Linked DNA regions of Drosophila melanogaster. The protein of the gene in region 1 interacts with the protein of each later gene in a pairwise test. Each region holds a gene or a part of one and is shown in the gene's direction. Other genes may lie near its edges.

Region 1 (7,949 bases):
TGTTTGAATGGGTTAATTTGTGTATTTAGCCGAGAGCCAGCTGTTATTGAATATCGACAGTGAAACGCAAAACCCAATTAAATACCTAAGTCGCCGCACAGATTTTGCGGCACGTTCGTCCTTCGTTTTGCACCTTTCGCGATGCGGCAAGAAGGACGCAAAAATGCAGATCACGGCCCAAGGAGTCATCGTTCCGGCCGATCCGAAGTCGAAATCGATATGCACCCGCATTTGTCTGTCAAGAAGCTGCCCTTTTCGGGTCCGCAATCTGGAGTCCATAACTCATCGGGGCAATGTGCAAAAGTGGCTGTATCGCATATCCTGTGGCTGCTTTGTTTGCCGAAGATCCCTTTGTCCACATTCGAAGTCAGCTGCAGTTGCAATCTGCTTTTTCCGCATTCAGCACGATCAAATATTGCCGAAGAAAGATATCGCATCCTGATCAGGTGGCGCGTGTCCTCTGGTGGCCAACTGTGATTTCGTCGGTCGGATCGCATTATGTTCACCTATTTTTTGGGGCGTCAGCTGGTGTGCGTGCCACGTGTATCTGGCGGATACTTTTGCCAAAGGCAGCCGCCTTATCGACTGCATGCTGAATTACCCGCTTTCTCATTAGCATTTCACTGTGGCCTACTTGTCTTGGCTTCTTCGGTTCATCTAAATGCAAATTCTCCCCCACCAAAATTCCCAAAACACCTTCAATTTCGAATCTCAAAGCCAAGAGAATATTGTTAGTTTCCAACTGGCAAGCAAAAATTTCTTTCAAATAAGTTCACTTTTTTAAGTTGACTTTTAATTCTTGAAATGAAAGTGCTTGAATATGGCGATGAATTAAAAGTTCTCATTTTCTTGCCTTCAAACGATATGCACTTTGAATGGAAATGTTCTTGAAGTTAGGGTTAATTTTTGTTCCAAGTGAATGGCCAAAAGCTTTTTAATTAAGCCCTGCCTTCAAGGAGGGGACTACGAATCGGGAATCGAGGAGAAATCACAGAAAACTGTTATTATAATCATCGTCTACGTCTACAATCGGACCAACCAACACCCACCCATCCAATCCTTCTTGTCGCCTACTTTGTCATTATAATTTTTCCTTTCAGCCGGCCAAAGCGATGCCCAAATGAAAGAAATTTTTGCGGGCCAAAAGAAATGCATTTTATTATTATTATTGTTATTTGTTGTGGTGACTTTTTAATCATTCCCTACCAAAACAGAGCGCTCCAACGGATTGCGTTGAGATGGTCGCGGGGGATGGGGCTGTTATTCAAGAAGCACTGGAACCACTGGCCGATTCTTATTGGTGCACCAATACCACTCGGACAGCTCAGACAGATATGGCCATCGGCTACTCCCACACCGATGACACGATGACGACACAGCTGTTGACGACGAATGGGGAAGTCTTGATGGCACACATACACCATCGCAGTCGCCAGCACCACCACCGCAAGATAACCCATACCAATGAAGAAACTCAAACGAAGACGAAGACCACGACAAAGGCCAAATTCGCCGCAAAGACGAACAAAGACGAAGCACGAAACACCCGAAGTGCCTCCCCTTCGCATCCGTGACGTCACACCTCAAGAAACGCTCAAGGAAACGATATTGAGAGAAGGAAGAGCAACATAATTCAAAAATTGAGTGAAAAGAAAGAGAGAAAATCAAACTGCTTAAAATTTTAATTTTCTCTTTTTAAATTTTATGTTTAAAGACGACGAAAGAGAAAAGTTGAAGCAGGCGTAAATCTTAATAATGCGTTTCTTTTCAAATCCGCTGCACGAGCACACGATCGCAATCAGTTGGCCATTTTTTTGAGCGTAAGAAGAGCACAAAGACGCTCTTCGCTCTCTCTTTGCTCAGCCCGTCTCAGACGTTTCAGTTCCAGTTCAAGACCTGTCTTCAGATATTCCGCTCAATGCGTTTCAGTACTACGGCGCGCCTTGTATCTGAAAGTTCGGTCTCGCTCAACGATACGGATACGAAACGATATGGTACACTTGTGGAGTGGATTAACGCTAATTCGTTTTTGATTGCCGCCAGGGGGGATCGCCAATGGACCGATGCGTAAGTAAAGAGCGTAATTAAGCAAGCACGCGGTGGTCACTGTGAGTTCCAGAGTTTCGCATCCATTGTCAGATAAGTCCGATCGTATCCCTTGGGTACCAGAATGCCTTATCTTGCGTCCGTTGTGCGTGTCTTTAAGGGGGGCGTTCTTTGGATCTCAATACAAGAGGCGTTTTATTAAGGTCAGCTAATGGATCAACTGTATGTATCTGTATCGCTTTGTGCGAAGTAAGTGTGTTAACGAATGAGTGCCAGACAGAATGAGGCGCCTGAAGATCCCCAAAGTCGCCGATGACTCAGTGGTTAAGGAAAAAACAAAGAAGAACGGCCAGAGAACCAGAATCAAAATAGAAGAAGCCAGAAGGAAGGAGAGGAGAGGCGCATTCGGAAAAAACAAGCCAAAGATCCCATGGACAGGCAGAAAAACAAAGGCGAAAAAGGGGGAAACGAGATGGGAGACCGAGACCCGCACATGTTCATGTTGACATGTGTTGGTATCTTGGGAAAATCGAGAGAATGTGTGAGAGAGAGAGGGGGGTCTGGTGTGGGGTGGGAAAAGTGGGGGTAACTCTAGGTGGGGTGCATTGAACTTGGCGGCAAAAGGGGAGCGATCACTAGCCCAACAAGAGATCACAGTTCCCAGAATTAAAACCAAGCCAAGCCAAGTACTTGTTGTTACTGTTGTTGTTATTGCAAATTTCCACAGATCTGCGATGTTGTTATTGCGAAAAAGAGAAAAGAAGATGATAGGGGAAGCAAAACAAGAAGAGCAGGCAAAAATAATAAATACAAAGACCCAAAAGTAGCAGCTGCATTTTCAAAATTTCAACATTTCACAAAAACTCAAAAACACACACATACGCAAATACCGTAAGTGAGAGAGGGATACGCAAAGGAGCTGAAAAAGGAAGCGAAGAGCCGGAGGAAAAGGAGACCAGACAAAAGGCAAAGCAGGGATGACGAGAAAAGGTTGCAAGCAAAACAAGTCAGCAGGATCAAGGACACGCAGGCCCTTACACACACACACACACACACGCACACAAAGGAGCAGGCAGAGAAAACCTGAAATCGTTACACAAACGCAAAGCAAAAGAGAGAAATGCAAGCGAACGAGTAGGCCAAAAGAAAAGGCAGATTAAGGACCCGTTCCTTTGTAGTACTTTATTTTTTACAATACATCCATAGGTAGGTAAAACCCATTAGGGTAGTTTCATCATAGGTAATGACGTGCATGTGTGTGTGTGCGTGTGTGAGTGTAGCTAGGGATCGGCAGGACATGCAAAAAATAAAATTGAAAGAACAGAGAGGCGAAGAAAATACTTTGTCACAAGGGAAGAGATTAGTTTTTCAGGTCGATTGAAATTCTGTTGTTAGGGGAGAGAGCAAATCACTTAGTGCACAGTGGTGCAAGGTCTATAGAAATAATTTGATAGATCGTCACTATATTATGAATACAAGTCAAGTTTTAAAATTTGTCGATAAGAGCAAATACGAACTGTAATGCAATATTCAAATGTTTCTGTGAACTTTCTTAGTGATTAGAAAAATACGGATAAAAATATATACTCTCGCAAACAAAAATTCGTATGTATAATAAATAAGTCATATTTTTGATAGTTTTTTTTTTGGCATTCCCTTACAATTTATAATTTGGGACTAGTCAAATAAACAAATTTTCACTGAAAAAAAAAAGGTTGCTAATTCGGTTGTAAATGTACATTTAACTATTAGTTTTATTCATTTGAAACGAAATTACCCTAATACCGAGTTTCTATAAAGAGCAACCATTGAATTCCCGATTCCGATTACTTCCAACATCTAATCGAATCATTCTTCTCTCCATTCACCAGAAGGCAGCTGTTACTCCTCGCTGACGAAGGAAACCGAATACCACCAGCTGGGATATATCCTCGCCAGTCGCAAACAAGAACAACAGGGGCACACGATCGCACCGGAGGATCACAAAGGGCTCGTGCCACATGAAGCAGGGGGTTGTTGATAGCGCCTCCTGAAAGAACTAACGACTCATGCGGTCGTGCGTCGAGACAAAGTGATCCTGCCGCAAGGAGCAGGACGAGCCGCTTATCAGCCATGCACGGGATTCGGGGTGGCTGAGGGTTGCAAACACGCGTTCTTATCTTAAAGCTCAGACTGTCGGGAGGGTGACGAAATAGAGCAGATGTGCAAACAACGGCCCCGATGACGGATGACCGACGAAACCCAGCAATTACAGCTTGAGGGGAGGCGATAGTTACCATCCAACGACGCGTGCTCGGCACACTTGCAGATCCACTGAATAGGAGCAACGTTCGCCTGGGCAATCAGAATCGACCTCAGACTAGGAGCTCCAAAATTCCCAGTATTATAATGTCCGTGGACAACAGCTTGGGAATTCTAGACTTATCTTCGGGTAAGGAGAGTGAGAAAACAGCAATGACAGCAGCAAACAAGGAGAACGATCCGGATTCCCATTTCACGGGTACTATCGTCACAACAGGCGCCACTGCTCAGCCAGCCACGCCCACTACCTCAAATGCCACCGCCCTACCAGCCACGCCTACTGTGGCAGCTGGCCAGGATTTGGGTGACGGTGCATGTAGTAGTAAAAATACGGATTCCAAGTTTCAATCGTACGTAAATGGCAATGGCAATGGTGTGTACAAGATCATCAAGACACTCGGTAAGGGAAACTTTGCCAAGGTCAAGTTGGCGATTCATGTGCCCACCGGTCGTGAAGTGGCCATCAAGGTGATCGATAAGACGCAGCTCAATACGAGTGCACGTCAGAAGCTGTACCGCGAGGTGAAGATCATGAAACTGCTGAACCACCCGAACATCGTGCGCCTCTTCCAAGTCATCGAGTCTGAGAGGACACTCTACCTGGTGATGGAGTACGCGAGTCGTGGCGAGCTATTCGACCACCTGGTGAAGAACGGGAGGATGCGGGAGCGGGATGCCAGGGTGATCTTCCGACAGTTGGTGTCCGCCATTCAGTACTGCCACAGCAAGTTTGTGGTTCATCGGGATCTGAAGGCGGAGAACCTGTTGCTGGACCAGCACATGAACATTAAAATAGCGGACTTTGGCTTCGGCAATACCTTCGATCCCAACGCCCAGCTTGAAACGTTCTGCGGGAGTCCACCATATGCTGCCCCTGAACTTTTCATGGGCAGGAAGTACGCCGGCCCGGAGGTGGACGCCTGGTCGCTGGGAGTGGTGCTGTACACTCTCGTCAGCGGTTCGCTGCCCTTTGATGGAGGCACCCTAAAGGAGTTGCGGGAAAGAGTCCTGCGGGGCAAGTACCGTGTGCCCTACTACATCTCAATGGACTGCGAAAACCTAATGAGAAAGTTCCTGGTCCTGAATCCCGCCAAGCGCACTTCGCTTTCTGCTGTGATGTCGGATAAGTGGATAAATCTGGGCCACGATGAATCCGACCGATTGCGTCCGTTTCGCGAGAAGCCCATGGAGCTGCAGGATGCAGCCCGGTTCGATTTACTGATGAGCATGGGCCACAAGCGCCGTGATGTGGAGCAGTCTGTAAAGGGGCAACTGTTCGACGACATCTATTGCACATACATGCTCCTGGGCGTGGCCAAGCCGCGCTCCTCGAACCGCAGTACGAAACCGGAGGCTATACCAACAGTGGATTTAACTACTCCAGCTGTCAGTAGCCCGCTTCCTAATATCACCACACCCACTGTTACCATAGCTCATGTCACGCTTGCGCTGGACAAGAATCCGCCCATCCACTCCTCCTCAGCATCGGGTAGACCCATTGCGCCACGTTTGGCAAATGCACCCAATACACCGACTTCAACGCCACCAACGGGACCGCCTGCCAAGCCCACAAGACGCACTCCAGCCAGGACACCAGCCCGGAAGGCCACCAACCATACGAGCGGCCAAGGACGTCCGGAGCCTTCGAGTCTTCCGCACACTCCGCAGTCAAAGAGAGCCAGTGCCAACATGGATGTGAAGCCCACGCTGCTGAGTGCCCAGCGACAATTGGCCCAGACCCAAAAGCTGGCCAACACTCCTCCGCGCTTCCAGTACCCCGTTGCCCAAACTCCGAATCAAGCTCAGGGATCCTCCAGGCGGCCCACGACCCTGTACGAGAAAGCGGAACCTGCAGTCACTCCACTTCTGGTGCCCAAGTCGCCGGCCATGGGTGCTCGACTGCTAGAACGGATTCCCGGAGGTGGAGCAGTGGAAAAGACCTCCGACAAGCCCTTCACCCGACAAAATGTGGCACGGGCCACTTTTCATTTCGGCCAAGCGCGCAGTGGCAAACGGGGCGGTGGATCAGGAAATGGCGCAGGCGGAGAGGAGGACAGCTATCAGACGCCACCCTTATCCGCGGACGACACCAAGCCCGCCTCGCGGGTAGGTTTCTTCTCCAAGCTGACCGCACGTTTCGGTCGAAGGGTAATCCACTTGAACGAAAAGGATGTCACCGAGCAGCGCAAGAACCTCACCAAATAGCCAGAAGTCGGGTTGTTTGGGGCAATGTCAAGGTGATAGAGATAGAATGATAGAGTGATAAAGAAAGTGATACAGTCGGCCCTGACCGAGCATTCTAACGAAATTAAGTCAAAACTCAGCAAATCAGTTTGTCTTACAAGTGTGCGGCGAACGCTTTGCTGGGATTTAGATAAATTAATCCTACCAGAAATGACGGCAGCAAACACAAACAAAACGACCGACAAGGAGAACGATCCCGGTCCCAATACATCGATATCCACTACCGCCACGCCCCCTTCTGCAGCTGCCCAGAATGTGGGGGGATGTTTTGGGAGCAGTGGAGGCAGATCGAGCCCTAAGTTTCAGTCCTATGTAAATGGCAACGGCTACGGAGTGTACAAGATCATCAAGACCCTTGGGAAGGGCAACTTTGCGAAAGTCAAGTTGGCGATTCATCTGCCCACCGGTCGGGAAGTGGCCATTAAGCTGATCGATAAAACTGCGCTAAATACGATTGCCCGGCAGAAGTTGTACCGAGAGGTAAATATAATGAAAAAGCTCAACCACCCGAATATTGTGCGCCTCTTGCAAGTTATCGAGTCGGAAAGGACTCTCTACTTGGTAATGGAGTATGTCAGCGGGGGAGAACTCTTCAATTATCTGGTCAAAAACGGAAGGATGCGGGAGCGAGATGCCAGGGTGCTCTTCCGCCAGTTGGTGTCTGCTATTGAATACTGTCACAGCAAGTCCATTGTGCATCGGGATCTAAAGGCAGAGAACTTGTTGTTGGACCAGCAAATGAAATTGAAGATCGCTGATTTTGGTTTCAGCACCACGTTTGAACCAAAAGCGCCACTGGAGACGTTCTGCGGAAGTCCACCGTATGCCGCCCCAGAACTGTTCAGAGGAAAGAAGTACTCTGGACCGGAGGTGGACTCATGGTCACTGGGTGTGGTGCTGTACACCTTGGTGAGTGGTTCCTTACCCTTTGATGGAACCAATCTGAAGGAGCTCCGCGACCGTGTTCTACGTGGCAAGTATCGTGTTCCGTATTACGTCTCCATTGAATGCGAGAGTCTTATTAGGAAGTTCCTCGTTCTGAATCCAACGCAACGTACTAGTTTATCGGCTGTCATGGCGGATCGCTGGATCAACATGGGCTACGAACAAGGTAACGGTTTGAGACCGTTTCAAGAGAAACCTATGGATCTGCATGATGTAAATCGATTGAGTTTGCTGTCGAACATGGGTCACAAACCTCGTGATGTAGAGCAGTCGCTGAAGAACCAGAAGTTCGACGACATCTATTGCACCTATATGCTCCTGGACGTTGCTAAACCGCGCTCAACAGCCTGCAGCGAGAAATCGGGATCTTCGTTTAGGGAAACTCCTACGGCTATGCCAGGCAGCAGTCGGAT
Region 2 (5,847 bases), on another chromosome or scaffold:
AAAATGATTTCAAATATATCAGTAATACCCTTTTGGAACGGAAGTCATTCAGGCCTTACACAATCTTTGCCACTTGGCCACCCAGGAGTCGGTGGGCGTAGTTAGGGCAATAATTCCGTCAAAGTTGTTGCTAGTGTGATCATAGACATTGTCCTTGTTGTTTTTCATTCGCAGGAACTCCTCGCAGTTTTCACAGCCATCAGTCTCAAATTGATCAAAACTCTGCGGGCGATAAATGATTTCAATGAAAATGTGTGTCGAGTCTGGGCAAAATATAACCCACCTTCACTAGGGAGCAAACGAGGCAGGCGCGAAGTCCTCGCAGATCCTTGGGTATCGCGTCAAAGGCCATATTTACTTATCAATTATGGGTTTAAAACTAAAAATACAAAATCCGTGCAAAACCAAGCCACGACACTGACAGAGTGACCGTACTCTAAAATTTTCTTGAATCTACGATATCGATGGGCGCCGGTTACACCCGACAAAAATTGTCAAAAGAATTTTCACGAAGCTAACCTTTGTATTAAAACGTGTTTTAAAAGTGTATATTTCCTTAGCAGCTATATGAATTTTAAACAAAGTTCAACGGCTTGGGCAGTGGCTTATTCTTTTTTTGCTTGTAATAATCCTCTAGAATTTCAAAATAGATCAAAACCAGTCCCAAGTGAATTCCTGGATTGGCTCCTGAAAAGTTAAATGCAATTTTGTAATCCTGAATTGGAAGTATGGGCAGAGAGACCTCGTCCAAACGAAAGTTACGCGCAATCAAATGACCCTTTAGAAACATATATATATATTCAATATATTGAGAAAATTTAACTATATTATATATACATAAGCTTACCCTATATGGGCAACTGTGGTTTACATTAGTCCACTCCGTCAAATGGCTAATAGCGTATTTTTGCAGAAAATTACTTTGCGTTTTATTCTTTAACAATTGGCAAACATCAAATTTAAATTTAACGGCGAAGGGCTTGTACAAATTCGAAGAATCCTTGTAGAACACTTCTACTGACATCTGAAAATTTCCATTATTATTGTAATACTTAAATTAATGAAACTTCTCACCTTAATATCAGTTAATGCCTCCTTTATGTCACCATCCATGTTCAATACCGATCGAGTCCAGTTTACAGGCTTCAGAATGCAAGAGACATTGCTGAAATATGCTCCGTTTGCTATGCACTCAGTTTTTCTGATTTTGAAAAAGTATCCATTGGAATAGAACTAAAAACTAAAATATTTTTGAAATCTGTATTTATACGGGCTTATTTACGCACAATGGTATTTGGAAGGCATAATAAAACGCCCAAGTACACACAAGAGACAGCAAGCCACTTTGCCATCATTGAAACAAATAAACATAACTTCAACCGAACAACTTAAAGCATACGCTAACTACATTTTAATAACTTTGTACACTTGATAAAAAGGTATCACGGTTGAATGAACAAACAGCTTTCAAATAAATAATCGATACGCCACGATACACTTATCTACACTTTAGCCAAAAAATCGGCTTAACGTAAATTAATTTTTGTTAAAAATGCACTATCGCTCGGAAGTAAAAAAGCGTAAAATGAAAAGGTCGATTGCTTGTTTTGATTTTACAGCCTAATTCTATTGGTTATTTACACAATGCTAATTGTTGTTAAATGCTAACCGTTTGCCAATGTAATGTAAGACAATCGGTTAATCGACCCCCTGATGAGATAACGGCTACGCCCCTGGCGATCAGCTGTTACGCGGTTGTTTTGGGTGTGGAACAGGGAAGCACAAAAGTACGGACAAGAAAGAACGGTAATAACAGCTACAGCCGAGCTCCGTTAATCTTTTACCGCTAGGATCGTTGGAATAGAACTCGCCATGTCCTCCTCCTCGACATCCAGTCCCACGGACAACAGCTCGCACGGATCGGTGGCGCTGTCCTCGGCCCTTAATCCATCTTTAAACCCGGTCTCCGGCACGAATACCAGCAGCCAAAAGCCTTTTTCGCTTTCCGAGCGCCTGAACTTTGAGATCTACCGTTACTCCAGCTACTCGCCAAACTATCTGCCTGAGTAAGTACTAATCTGGAAAAGAAAATGGATGCCTCGCATATCGTAATTGTTAAACGGGCATCTTTTTAATTTCCATTCGTAGAAACGTCCTGGTGGACTGTCCCAACGACCAAACATCTAGGTGGTCCGCCTACACGAACAGCCCGCCGCAATTTCTCACCTTGAAGCTGCGCCGTCCCGCCATTGTGAAGAAAATCAAGTTTGGCAAGTTCGAGAAATCGCATGTGTGCAACATCAAGAAATTCCGTGTTTACGGCGGCTTGGACGATGAGCACATGGTTTTGCTGCTGGAGGGGTAGGTCATTCAGCTGGTTTTCTGAAATGCATTATTTAATATAACTCAAATATTTTTCCCAGTGGCCTAAAAAACGATAACGTGCCAGAAGTATTCAACCTGCGCTGCCTGACCGAAGACGGTTCGGAAAATCTACCAATACTGTACCTCAAGATCGTGCCCCTGCTCTCCTGGGGTCCGTCGTTCAACTTCAGCATTTGGTACGTGGAGCTGCACGGCCAGGACGACCCCATGTACACCAGTGCTCGCATGAAGAACTACAACTCGCTGCGCGAGGTGGAGATCATCAAGCTGTGTCTGAAGCACTTCCGCCAGCAGGGCTATTTGAGTGCCTTTGGGGCGCTCCAGGAGCAAACGAATGTGCAACTGGAGCACCCGCTGATCAGCGAACTGCATAAGTGTCTGGTAAGAAAGGAATCCCCAGCATAGATCATGCTATAAACCTTTGAAGTTTGGTATTAAATTCATAAAAAAAACTGGTTCTTAGGTTTTGCAGGGCGACTTTGAGAAGGCTGAACGCTTTATAGTCGAGTGCATAGACGAGGGCCTAATGGATGAGTATTTACATAAGCAGGACTACAAGCACAGCTGGCATATGAAGCATACCGAAAGCGACATAAAGCCTGGTAACTATTTTTGCCTCCAAATAGCAATCATTAGCAGTTAACTTCCTCTATTTCAGGCAATCGCGGTGGTCACCAGCTGGTGGTGGATGCCAAAAGGAGACTTATTTATCTCTACGGCGGCTGGGATGGCTACCAGGACTTGAGCGACCTTTGGGTATTCAATATCGAAGATGATCAGTGGACGCTACTGTGCGAAAGGTCAGAGCTTTCCAATGGACCCACACCGCGATCCTGTCACAAAATGGTCTTTGATCCCATCAGCGAAAATGTATTCATGCTTGGTCGTTACCTGGATAACTCGATACGAACTTCGGATTATATAAAGAGCGACTTTTACCTTTACGATACGAGGGCTGGCAACTGGATGCAAATATGCGATGACACCAGCCAAGTGGGTGGTCCTCAGCTTGTCTATGATCACCAGATGTGCATGGATACCGATAAGCGTACAATTTACGTTTTCGGAGGCAAAATACTCACGCCTCGCAGTGTCAATGCCACGGGAGCGATAGAACCAGAATATTCGGGGCTGTTCTCCTATCACATAGCAACGAACACCTGGGCTCAGATTCTGGTGGACTGCCACCATGCCAGCGCTTCCCTGGCAGATGTGATGTCCATCAAGTCCAGGATCACACACTGCATGGTTTTCCATAACGTAGGTTAATTATACTCTATAAGCTATGTATACAGATATATGTATTTGTACGCGCTATTATAGAAACATCGAAAACTTTACATATACGGCGGACAACGAGGGAAGGAGGATCTGGATGAGTTTCTTAGCTACGATGTAGACACCCAGGCCATATCGGTTCTCAACAAGGAGCACCCGCATCACGGAACCATCGCTGGCAACGAAGCCAAATTCGAACCTTCCTCCGGTTATACTTTACGTGCCACCATTGACTGTGAACGTGATGAAATTTATATTTTTTCTGTAGGTAGTTCTGACATTATTTCGGCGTTCGTATTTAACTTCTTCGTTTTTAGAGCCTAAGTAAGGTGAAGGATCGTCGTGATATACAGCATATTGATGCATCAAACTCCTTTTGGGTTTATTCCTTGCGCAATCACAAGTGGTCGAGGATATATTACTGTCGCCACAGTGGCCAGGATGCCAACTCAATTAACAACATGAATATTTTGGGCGCTAGCAAGGGTGATGGAACCTTAGAGCCGTGCCCTCGCTATGCCCACCAGCTGGTCTATGATGATGTGACCAATACCCATTATTTGTTTGGCGGAAATCCTGGAATCTGCCAGCAGCAGCAGCTGAGACTTGATGATTTTTGGCTTTTATGTCTGGAAAAGTATGTAATTTACTAGCTGAATGTAATCGATGATAATTTTATTATATTTTAGACCCAAACGAGAGGAGATCCTGAAGCATTGTCGGTTTTTGGTGCGTAAACTGCGCTATGAGGAGATGACGCGCCAAGATCCCTTAAAGGCAATGCAATACTTACGGCATCATATAGCCGATGTCATTGATCACAGCGATGCGGAGCAGTTGAATAATGTATGTCTAAAAAAAGAACTTCAATTTTTGTAGCTTTCTTATATCTGAGTTGATTATTTTAGTTCCACAAGCTTGCGTCTTTACTCTTCAAAAACCATGATGGTAACCTTGACAGAGAATGCAACACACCTGCGTTGTGTGCTGATGCAGACGATCTCGAAACGGATTCCGATGTATCGGCAAAGATCAAAGGTTTTATTAGTCAATAATGAATTCGTATTGGATAATTCAACTTGTATCTTTACAGAGGAACTGGCTGATGGACCCGCTACCGAGAACCTCTCCCTGGAGTCGAACGAAAGCATGATCTCTTCTGGCATCTCGGAGACTGCATCTAGTCCGAGCTCCTCCTCCTGCACCAAAAGGGCGCGGACGGATTGCACACCCGAGCTGAAGAATAAGCGAGCTTTCCTGTTCAATAAACTGGTGCAATTGATGCCACCGAGCATGGTCCAACCTGAACGCAACCTTAGCGACTTTGTGGTCATGTAAATGTTAACGTGCCAAAACCGATTCAATACGAGCCCCCATCCAAGATTATATTTAGCTTATTAAGTGTGTGAGAGTTTTGTTTTAAACTGTTGATCATGATGTGATGTTTAATTCGCTTGTTTGCCCATATAAGGTTCTACGGTTAATGCAAAGCATGACATATATATGATTTTATTGTGATAGTTCACGTGTACTGAAACCCCGGCTAAAAGCAGCTGGATTCATAGTTAGTGCGTTTAGGCTGAATAAGAACAGTATGTAAACCGAGTTATATTTAATGGATTGTATATGTAAACATAAGATTGAAATAAAAAACAGTTTTTTAACGTCCAAAAGCAACAAGGCGCATTTAATATACATCAGTTTATAATATAATAGCAAACTTATAAATAATTAAAAAGTTATTTTCTGTTTTACATACATTTATTTCCCTATTTTTAAAATATGATACACAAAGGTTGTTACTCATCAATATGATTTAAATAGACATTTTGTAGAAATCGAGGTCACAGCAAATTAGTTTCACTTAAATGCAATTCCAGAATTGTGTCCTTGACAGCAGTGAACACGAACTTAATATTTTCAGTATCTACAAAACCAAAAAACACTTTTTTAGTTATTGAGTGTAAAGCGTCCTTAGTTTTTATGTTGAGACACAATAAAACACAAGCAAGGAATTCAAAAAGATGTGTTTTTTTCAAAAATCAGAATATAAAGTTGACTTACTTGTAGCAACGGTGAAATGAGGATAGATGCACTTGTAAGGATCAGGATTCACGCTAGTAAACATGTACAATATGAATTCTCGGGCCGCCTTAGCATCCTTCTTTGGACCTGGTTAATAGG
Region 3 (3,385 bases), 2.9 Mb from region 1:
CTTAGATGTGAATGTGCAGACAGTATTCTATCCTACCTCATCCCGTGGCAATGATATCTGGCGTGGTTTTACACAGCCCTGGACGACTGTGTCCAACAGAAGCCCAGCAGTGGTAACTCCAGCACCCACTCCAACTGAGATTTTCTGGAATCAACCAGTACCCAGTGTTCCAATCACTTTTGCGCCACCTGTACCAACTATTACGAGCAGCCCAGCACCAGCACCACCACCACCACCACCACTTCCAACTCCACCAGCAGTTGTAACCGTTCCGCCAGCTACTCCACCACCTCAACGCTTTGATCCGCGATCCCAAATATCATCAGTAGTTTGCGGTCGAGAGGGCAGCACAACTCCGTTTATTGTGCGTGGAAACGAATTCCCTCGAGGACAGTACCCCTGGCTATCGGCCGTCTATCACAAGGAGGTTCGAGCTCTGGCCTTTAAGTGCAGAGGATCCCTGATCTCGTCCAGCATTGTAATTAGTGCCGCCCACTGTGTGCATCGGATGACGGAGGACCGCGTGGTCGTCGGACTCGGGCGCTATGATCTGGATGACTACGGAGAGGATGGGGCCGAGATGCGCAATGTAATGCGATTGCTTTGGCATCCGGATTACAATACCCGGTCGTATTCGGATGCCGATATCGCTTTGATCACCATTGAACGGCCAGTGACGTGAGTATTTAAATAATTATTAGTAATTTAATTTTTCACTCAAGAGATACAAAAGGTATATTATAAATCATTTTACGATGGGCATTCCCGTTCAAATATTATATTTACTCTATCACAATATGTGCTTCTCACAGAAGGTGATAATTTAATACTCATAACATGCGAAAAAATCTCTCTTATAAAGTTCATATTTTAAGGACTATCATGTTTTCTTTCAGGTTTAACGACATTATTGCACCCATTTGCATGTGGACGGTGGAGGCAAGCAGAACGGTGTCCACCACTGGCTTTATAGCGGGTTGGGGGAGAGATGAGGACAGCTCCAGGACCCAGTATCCACGCGTGGTGGAGGCGGAGATTGCCAGTCCGACGGTCTGCGCCAGCACCTGGAGGGGCACCATGGTGACGGAGCGAAGTCTGTGCGCGGGAAATCGCGATGGATCTGGACCCTGTGTCGGGGATTCCGGCGGTGGACTGATGGTCAAGCAGGGCGATCGATGGCTGCTCCGGGGTATTGTGTCTGCAGGGGAACGCGGACCTGCCGGCACCTGCCAGCTTAATCAGTATGTACTGTACTGCGATCTTTCCAAGCACATCAACTGGATAAGCGAAAACATTCGCTGAGCATCCGGATTTGCTTTGTGGACAATCAAATTAAAAACTTTAATGCCAAAAGATATTTAGATGTTTCACTGTCTGGTGATTTTCGGCAAAACGAGTTTGCGCCTCCCATCTTTCACTTATTTTATTGGCAATGATGGATGATTGAAAGGCAAAAAAAAGTACAGATAGGTTGCTACGTGCTGACAATAAAATGTTTGTAAAAAAATAACTTTAATTGTTGAGATGTACTTCATTAATAGTTCATCTATTTTAGGATTTAGCAGCGGCCACTTTTTTTTTTTATTGGTAGAACCGATTGATTGTTCTGGCTAAAAGACACAACTGACTTTTTCGCTAACTTTCTTTAGCTAATATCTTACAAATTAATGGCCATGTGTATTGCATGTATGACATAAAAGTAAACATATATGCCCACGTATTGACTGCTAAATGATTGGCATCGGCTGAGCAAATGTTTGGGAAGCGTGCTGCACATTTAAGTACCCAATGTAATTGGCTATAAAAGGCCTGCAGTACGATATATAGACTCTTAGAGGCCTGGTATAAAGATGAAGTGCAGCGGCTTTCTAATCCTCCTGGTGGTCCAGTTTGCCTGGAATGACAGCGTTCTGGCAATAGAAACTGCTTTTGATATCTGGAATAAATTTGGAGATGGTGGAGCTCTGCCCAATGATCCAGAAAGGCTAAACGAAAAAGGTATTTCGGTTCTAAGTCCAACTAACGACCTGCAAAACAAGAACGAAGGAACGATAACGCAATTGAGGAATCTTCTTGACAATTATGTGGCAAAATTATTATCCGATTTGCCCAATACTCGGAAAAAGAAAAGGAGACAAGGCCTGCAGGAATCTCTGCAAGCTCTAACTGGTCTAGGTTTGAGCATATCTCCATTGCTAAAATTCCTAACGAACATCAAGGCAGAGGAGGAGCAACTTGTCTCGAAACTTAATGTCCAGGAGGAATGGAAGTTCTGGGCTGCCGCAAAGGTGTCGAAAGTTCAGGAGTCGACTAAAGGTCTTAGAACCGCGGAGGCTGTTTCCATCACTGAAAACTTCAACAGTCGTTACGGCCTTCGATTGCGTAGTTGTGTTGGTCTGTTTATCTGGAATCAGATTCGGTTTAACTTGGACTTGGAAAGTTCCCTAAATGGCCTGCAAAATCCAACGGAGCACTTGATCGATGTCACTGAAGGCTGTTCCAGCGTTAAGCCAAAAAAGTGCCGGCGGAACGTCAGAAGAGCTATCGATGGCATCCAGAATGCTCCACAGAATTTGCTGAATCTGCGGACTAAGGGCAACCAGTTGGAGGACATTCAACGGCAAAGTAATCAGTGTGTGGATAAAACTGTTAAGGAATACACTGAGGAGCGGGTCGAGGTAGAAAGACAGCTAGATGATATAATCGAGGATTATCTTGAGAGTGAAACATTTACCAAATAAGTCGGGATCTATACATTTAAAATCAGATATTATTTCAATAATCACTGGCGAACATATAGCAGAGACAGCACATAATTAGGAACCTTTCGCACCAATTATTATAGAAACAAATAAATAAATATGAGATCCATTAAATATGTTTTATGATAAAGGAGCAGAAAATCAAAAATTAAATCTTTTAAATACCTACTGTGAGAAAATGTTCATTCATTGTCTTTGTGCTGTTAATAAAGTTATTTTAAGAAAAGGTAAGTAATATTAATGCATTTTTTGGCTTAATGGAGCTTAGCATGTGGAAGTGCAATTTACGCTCGAGAATTTAGCTCCAAAAACTGAATACTTAAATACCCACAAAGTGGGGAGAGCCACTGACTATTGAGAGACTTAGATCGGGTATCAATCAGTGCTCATTGAGTGAGTCTTTTGAGTTTTAATGCGAGTAATTAAAATCTCTATAAAATAGACTGGAAAAGCTCAGCTCATACGTAGTTGCAATGAGTCCGCATCAGCTGGTGACCGTTCTCCTTCTGGCTTCTCTGATTAACTTGGTTCTTGGCCAGTTGCCCCGGAATGGCTGCTCTGGGCGATTTCAATACCAGGGCTACCAGGGGCAGTACATCGGTTTGGTGGAAGTTCGTCATCCG

The links. Proteins that work in one complex are often made in the same cells at the same time.
Region 2: the proteins of KP78b (region 1) and muskelin interact in a two-hybrid assay, tested with the Drosophila melanogaster proteins (one large-scale study listed by BioGRID).
Region 3: the proteins of KP78b (region 1) and CG33109 interact in a two-hybrid assay, tested with the Drosophila melanogaster proteins (one large-scale study listed by BioGRID).

Annotation. Positions count from the first base shown.
Region 1 is NT_033777.3:11,347,131-11,355,079, reverse strand, and holds the start of KP78b (KP78b), read left to right. Parts: upstream 1-1,948; 5' UTR 1,949-2,067; intron 2,068-3,917; 5' UTR 3,918-4,434; coding exon of another isoform or gene 4,435-6,552; 5' UTR 6,553-6,741; coding exon 6,742-7,949. Other genes in the region: KP78a, read left to right, coding at 4,435-6,552.
Region 2 is NT_033778.4:12,628,182-12,634,028, reverse strand, and holds muskelin (muskelin), read left to right. Parts: upstream 1-1,747; 5' UTR 1,748-1,872; coding exon 1,873-2,066; intron 2,067-2,148; coding exon 2,149-2,361; intron 2,362-2,423; coding exon 2,424-2,766; intron 2,767-2,848; coding exon 2,849-2,987; intron 2,988-3,043; coding exon 3,044-3,645; intron 3,646-3,708; coding exon 3,709-3,927; intron 3,928-3,980; coding exon 3,981-4,300; intron 4,301-4,352; coding exon 4,353-4,509; intron 4,510-4,571; coding exon 4,572-4,701; intron 4,702-4,756; coding exon 4,757-5,001; 3' UTR 5,002-5,332; downstream 5,333-5,847. Other genes in the region: spt4, read right to left, coding at 60-222, 284-352; CG33792 (uncharacterized protein), read right to left, coding at 575-1,024, 1,075-1,233, 1,287-1,355; CG17760 (uncharacterized protein), read right to left, coding at 5,508-5,590, 5,728-5,835.
Region 3 is NT_033777.3:14,220,045-14,223,429, reverse strand, and holds CG33109 (uncharacterized protein), read left to right. Parts: upstream 1-1,845; 5' UTR 1,846-1,850; coding exon 1,851-2,741; 3' UTR 2,742-2,870; downstream 2,871-3,385. Other genes in the region: Sp212 (Serine-peptidase 212), read left to right, coding at 1-678, 897-1,302; CG31326 (uncharacterized protein), read left to right, coding at 3,236-3,385.